Saccharomyces cerevisiae S288C: one gene and its partner. The gene in region 1 interacts genetically with each later gene. Each region holds a gene or a part of one and is shown in the gene's direction. Other genes may lie near its edges.

The links.
Region 2: mutations in FTR1 (region 1) and YGR122W together harm fitness more than expected from each alone (negative genetic interaction), as found in Saccharomyces cerevisiae (2 studies listed by BioGRID).

Annotation. Positions count from the first base shown.
Region 1 is NC_001137.3:459,975-463,359, reverse strand, and holds FTR1 (high-affinity iron permease FTR1), read left to right. Parts: upstream 1-1,619; coding exon 1,620-2,834; downstream 2,835-3,385. Other genes in the region: cohesin-loading factor complex subunit SCC4, read left to right, coding at 1-392; RNA-binding protein LSM5, read right to left, coding at 494-775; YER145C-A (uncharacterized protein), read left to right, coding at 537-974; putative ubiquitin-specific protease UBP5, read left to right, coding at 3,137-3,385. UniProt on the Saccharomyces cerevisiae protein: Permease for high affinity iron uptake.
Region 2 is NC_001139.9:731,921-735,676, forward strand, and holds YGR122W (uncharacterized protein), read left to right. Parts: upstream 1-2,014; coding exon 2,015-3,223; downstream 3,224-3,756. Other genes in the region: ammonium permease MEP1, read right to left, coding at 1-1,007; YGR121W-A (uncharacterized protein), read left to right, coding at 1,492-1,707.

The DNA of each region.
Region 1 (3,385 bases):
TCGAGCCGTTCAGTTGGAACCCGCTGCCATGTAGTGACAAGCAGCGCGCCGAGTACGTGTCGAAGCTCCGCGAGTTCTACTCTAGCAACAAGTTCGTTGCCGGAGAAGCCGTTGCGGACAACCGCTTCAAATTGAAGAAGGCTCTGTTGCTGCAAATACTGGTAAACTACTTAGGCGGTCGAATGCTCGAACACGATCTGGGCGAGATCTATGCGATTTCAGCAAAGTGTTTCGATATGTGCCGCCAGCAGGGCGGCATGCGCAAGGTCCAATACGTGATCGGAATATGGCATTTAATGAATTGTACGGTGGCGATGCGGGGAAAAGACGTCGCTCTCACGAACGCGAAGCTGGAGGCGCTGGTTAAGCAAATCACCAGTGTCAAACAATAAACCAAAAAAAAAAAAAGAAACACTTGATTTCCTTTATCTATTTTTATACTTAATTATTTTTTTTAGATGCACTATACAAATTCGCGTTAATTTTTGCCTTTTTACAACGCCTCCGTAGGGGTCTTTTTGCCGCCTGGCACAAGGATGGCAATATTGTTGCCGCTTAAAAGCATTCTGCCATGGTGCTGCATAACTTTCTCATTTCTGCTCTCGTCCTCAGGATCGATAAGCCACTCGACAGCGTCTTCCAGTATAACGTTGACGAAGTCGTCGAAACCAACTAACGTGCCCTCGAACTCGCGGTTCGACTGCAGCACAATCAACACTTTCTGGTTAATTGTTTTATCTATGACTTCCAAAGGCAAAATCTCCGGTAGACTCATTTTGCGCGCTTCTGTGTATGCTTGTGAGTGCACGTGTATACGCTATGCTTGTTGTGAGACCATCTATCCGCCAAGGAAGCCTTTTTCGCTTTCTCTGTATTTTTTCTACTTCAATAAGAAAGCAAGTATTCTGTTTTGCTACCCGGATGCAAAGACAAAACCCGAGCATCCGGGTAATAAAAGAGCAGGGTCCGGCTGAAGGTGCCAAAAAAGACCAAAAAGGGCTATATTATCTCTCTCTTACGATTGCCTCTGGTTAAAAAATGAAATAGATAATAAAAGGGCAGCAAAGAAAAAAAAGAAGAATACAATATACGTATACGTTCTCAACAATTTTTCGTCCTGTTTTTTTCTTGACCACGGTCACTACTAACTCCTGAGACATCAGACCAACGTGTAGAAAAAAAGAAATCGGGTCCGGCACTGACACACGCTCTGCGCCAATCAACCAGGGCGCATCGAGCATTCTTTCCAGGCCAGGGTGCAGAAATACTATTATTAAGTGCGCGAATACTGCTGGTGCATTAAACGAGCGAGTACAGTGAGCCCGCCGCTGACTGCCGACTCACGCCAGGCCGCTATTTCCTTCCCCCGCCCGCGTAAGCCGTGCCGAGCACCGTCGCAGCAGTAAGAAGGTGCGCATTTCATTCTCTGCACAGCGTAGATGAATGCACCCGATTTCTAAGTTGGTGTTGCAAGGCCCGGTGGAAGCGATGGGCTGTAGTTCGACCTTGAGCTTTTAGTTATATAAAATGCTCAATGTGAGCAAAAAAATACATAACACGACGGATTGTACGTTGTCGAAATCTTCTCTCAGCAGGTCATCACACATATACTTCCCGCCATGCCTAACAAAGTGTTTAACGTGGCCGTTTTCTTCGTTGTGTTCAGAGAGTGCTTGGAAGCAGTGATTGTTATTTCCGTGCTGCTATCGTTTTTGAAACAGGCAATCGGGGAACATGACCGGGCGCTGTACCGTAAATTAAGGATTCAGGTTTGGGTCGGTGTGTTACTCGGGTTCATCATTTGTCTGGCCATCGGTGCAGGTTTCATCGGTGCGTACTATTCGCTGCAGAAGGATATTTTCGGAAGCGCGGAAGACTTGTGGGAAGGTATCTTTTGTATGATTGCGACGATAATGATCTCGATGATGGGTATTCCTATGTTGAGAATGAATAAGATGCAGAGTAAGTGGAGAGTGAAGATTGCGCGGTCGTTGGTGGAGATTCCTCACCGTAAGAGAGACTATTTCAAGATTGGGTTCTTGAGTAGAAGATATGCTATGTTCCTTTTGCCGTTTATTACTGTCTTGAGAGAAGGTTTGGAAGCTGTTGTGTTCGTTGCCGGTGCAGGTATTACCACACAGGGCTCGCACGCCTCTGCTTACCCATTGCCCGTTGTGGTTGGTTTGATATGTGGTGGTCTTGTTGGGTATTTGTTGTACTATGGTGCTTCGAAATCCTCGCTGCAGATTTTCTTGATTTTGTCTACTTCGATCTTGTACCTGATCTCCGCCGGTCTTTTCTCTCGTGGTGCGTGGTACTTTGAAAATTACAGATTCAACCTTGCCAGTGGTGGTGATGCTTCCGAAGGCGGTGATGGTAATGGGTCTTATAACATCAGAAAGGCCGTTTACCATGTCAATTGTTGCAACCCAGAACTGGACAATGGGTGGGATATCTTCAATGCTTTGCTTGGATGGCAGAACACCGGCTACTTGTCATCCATGCTTTGTTACAACATCTATTGGTTGGTTCTTATCATTGTGTTGAGTTTAATGATATTCGAAGAAAGGCGTGGTCACTTGCCTTTCACCAAAAACTTACAATTGAAACACTTGAACCCAGGATACTGGATCAAGAACAAGAAAAAGCAGGAGTTGACGGAAGAGCAAAAGAGACAACTGTTTGCCAAGATGGAGAACATCAACTTCAATGAAGATGGTGAGATCAATGTGCAAGAGAACTACGAACTTCCCGAGCAAACTACCAGTCATTCCTCGTCTCAAAACGTCGCCACAGACAAGGAAGTCCTCCACGTTAAAGCCGACTCTCTTTGAATGAAGTCTAGCACAGGGTGGGAGTTTTCCACCTATTTTCTGTTGATAAAAATACTACATTTATATACATATATACAATAATTTCTAATATCGTTTTTATAAAGTTGGCCTTGTCTGTACGGCGTCGCAAAACAAGAACCCCTGGTCCAATTGATCTACCGGGCATTGATTTTTTTTCTTTTTTCCTTGCGCCTCACTTCAACACATCAAGTAAACACCAGCTATATTTAGTTGCTAGGTATTCTCCAACGTATGTGGAGTCCTTTCTTTATTATCTCTCTACACAAATAGGCACAAGCGTAATGGGCTCAGAACAAGCCTTAAGTGAGGTTGTCGAATCTGCTAAAGAGCGGTTCGGCAGGCTTAGGCATTTAGTTCAGAAGTTTCTTGATGATGACGACGTGCCACAAGAGTGTCTGCCTTTGCTCCAAGAATGCGCAGAAATATGGTCTAGTTATGTGGACGCATGCCAGGATATAACCATGCAGGCCCCTAAAGAAGATGCAAACCGGTTGTCAAAGGGGTTTCTCCGATTGAATGAAACAGCTTTT
Region 2 (3,756 bases), on another chromosome or scaffold:
ATTACGCCTGCAACCCCGTGCTCAGCTAGAATGTCCATGGCATCATCTACTTTAGCGTAGTATTTCAACTTCGTCGCAAAGTTACACACTACCCCCGCCACAATGCCTTGAATAAGTGAACCGTAAAGGGTTATACAGCCTGAGCTTGGCGTTGCAGCCACCAGCCCAGAAATGATACCGGAGCACAGACCAACTGTCGACCATTTCTTCTCCGATCTGTAATCCAGAAGACACCACGTCATCCCACCAGTAATGGCACTGAGACATGTATTCATGAATGCATAAACTGACCTCAAATTTGGGGATAATGAGGATGCAGAATTAAATAGCAGCCAGCCAAACCACAGTATGGATGTGCCTAGAGTGACCAATGAAACATTATGAGGCCTGAAATTTATCAGTAACTTTTCATTTCTTTTGCCCAAAAACCAAGAGTAAACAAACCCGGAAACAGCGCTTAATATTTCAATGTTGCCGCCGCCTGCCCAATCGAGGACTCCCCATTGGTATGCCCAACCACCTGGTGACCAAATCCAATACGTCACTGGACAATATCCAATGGTAGCTAGAATAAAGAGAAAAACCATGTGCGGTAGCAGCCTGCCTCTTTCGGCAGTGGCGCCAGCGATAATACTTAAGTTGACGCACGAAAACATCATTTGGAAGGTTGCATACGCGAGCTCAGGGTAGGCATCTTCATCGAATTTTTTTCCGTACACGTTTCTAAAGCCAAACGAATCTAGATTCCCAATGAATTTATTATTCGGAGCGGACTTTGAAAAAGCTAGAGAGTAACCCCAGAAATACCATTGCAGTATACCGACCAAAGTCGCCATTAATACAACCCAGATTAGTGCTAGTGCAGACTTCCTTCTTGCCAATCCGGAGTACAAGAATCCCAATCCGGGCACCATAAAAAATACTAGGGCGGCACCTAATATCATGAAGGCCACAGTGGGGCCATCGTAGGTTTCAGTCGTTAAAGGCCCTGTAGTTCGACTCTCCATAGTTTCTACAGTATAAGAATCCGTACTGCAGTTATGTTTACTAAAATAATTCTCTGATCATAAGCCTAAACAAGTTACAAGAGCGCCTATATAAATAAACTACCTTTTAAGTATCTTATTCTGGAACTGCATTATCGACTGGTAAGCAGAAGGTGCTATAGAAGCCTACACCACTTTTCCGATTTTTTTTTTTTTTTTTTTTCAGGAAAAACATCTTCCATCAATACTTTGTCATTTCTTTCTTCTTCTCTTCTGTGCTTACATAGCCATAAGATGTCACACAAGGGTGTCTGTAGCAATTGTGAATCTTATCGTTATCGCAATCTCTGAGATGTCTCATCCAATAAGAGGGGCGCGTGTCCGCAGAGATAAGCAACCAGGGCCTTTTCTTTTGCACTCAGCCTGACAAAGGGAGGGGAGGCGCAAAACAAAGTTCGTGGCAAAGGACAACCGTAGAAGAGCATCGCCATGTTGATTTTGAAGAATGTCAAGACACAAGTACAAGTTATGGATGTGCATCGCAAAGGGAAAAAGGGGAGTGGGGGAAAGAAATACGTTTGTCCCTAAGTGCTCTTATGCTCCCTTTTGTGCTTCAGAGGTTCTTGATCAATTATTAAGAGGGGATAACTCTATCGTATATAACTTTTATCTTAAAAATGGTTCAGGTAGTGTTTATATAGGCTCAGTCTTTCTTATCTGAAAAAAAACAGTACGGGATTTTTTGTGCGCTCGAATAGTGCCGAACTCAATTACGGGCTGTGGTAACACTTGAGATCTTGTCTTCCCTTACAAATAGCTCTAGGGGTGTTGCATGTAGCCGCAGTAACATCTTGAAGAAGTGTACACTTTTGAGGGGACGCCATTGTGTTACGTTCTATGTATTGAATAGTATAGTTTTCAATTTTCCTGCGCTGACGTAAACCGGCTGTAAGAAAAAACGTATAATCGAGAACTGGTTATTCAAAGGTTGAACTTTAAAGTGAAAAGTAGCTCTAACAAAATAAATCATGCGTGAGAATGCAATGTCTACAAAGAAACTTCCCTATAAATTATCTGGCAGCAGCAAAATAACAACTTCCATACCTAATGATTTAATCATACTGCGAAATAATTGCATAAATTCACTGAACAGTTCCTCGTCCAAAGCTGACAGCATTACATGTATAGATACGTGGCTAAAATACACAGAGGGTTTGTTAACCCACAGGTACGAAGCTAATAATGACGCCGCTCTCATTGAAGAGGAGATAGCGATTGCGTTAATCAATGTTGCCGTATTTTATCAAGACATCGGTATTGAAACATTGTACAGAGCTTATGAATCTTCACAAGCGTCAAATAACTTATGGACAACAAGCGGGACCTATCTAAAGAGAGGTCTAGGCTTAATCTGCTTTCTTGGAAAGAATTTTCAAATAAACACAGCTAATGATTGCCAAAAGATGCAGGTTCTCAACGTCCTTAATCAGCTATCATTAGAGTTTCAATTGCTGCAACAACTAGGGATTGTCGTTTTAGCACTGTCTAAACTAAGATCAAAAATCAGCAAGGATGCTGTTGCGGACCTTGAGCCTCAAGAATTGGAAGAGCTAGGCAAGTCCAGTGTCTTTTACGCTAAGCTTTGTATTGGATCTTATAGCACTGCTTCGCAATGCCAAGGAGGCCGTATAGTGGACGCATTATTTATGAATTATTTACAGAGTTTGACCTATCTCTTCCTATCAATCAACCAATACAACAATGATGAGTGCGGAATTGCCATTGGGATGCTCCAAGAATCGATCAAAAAACTGTTAAATATAGTACCCAATTCGCAACTAAAAGAGTTGGACATTTTATCCTCAACCGATATTACAAAGAAGAGGGATCTTATAAAGATGTCGTTTAAAAGGAAAATACATGGGTCTACTTTAAAAAACCAACGGATATTTGAGAAGAAGGTGCCATTTTCATCCAAAGCGTACATGATGCCGTTATTGAAATCTTCATTAGACGATTTTGTTATCCCACTAACGATACTGTTAAGGTACAGATACCAGACAACCAATGAGAATTATTCCTTCAAAACGGTTGAAACCGACGTTTCTAAATTGAAGGAGCTTTTCCCCAGGGGAAAATCGTCAGATATTGAAGGCACTGTATGGAGTTTCCAAGATGGACATCTTACATTTGCAGACTCAAATAATGCAACCCACAATTGCGGTAATTATTTTTGAATTGAATCAAACGCCGTTCGAACGTAGAGGTCAATAGTCTATATGAATAATATTTTTAAGGTCTACTCTACTATGAATTTTGCATAAAAATATACACATGTTAGAATAAGGAAACCACTATCTACTAATCACGGCTAACCACTGCAAACAATGGCATTATTTACTAATATAATTATGTGTGTTGGAGTGAGAATCAATTATAGTCTACCGATCTGGTGCTCTTGTCAGCAGTATATTATTTTTGAGAAGAACTTTCCTTTTTTTTTTATGTATACGTAATGATCAGAATTTTTTAATAAAGATGTACTTCAAAAGCTTTTTTTAATATTCATAGTAGAATTTAGTGAATAATTTGATAATTGTTGGGCTTCCATTGTTGGTAAAGGCTATTATATTAGTTTTGGAATAAAAATTCAACTATCGTCTATCAACTAGTAGTCATACTACCAGTATATTATCATATACGGTGTTAGATGGTGACATAGGTTATGAGAAGCTGTCATCGAAGTTAGAGGAAGCTGAAGTGCAAGGAT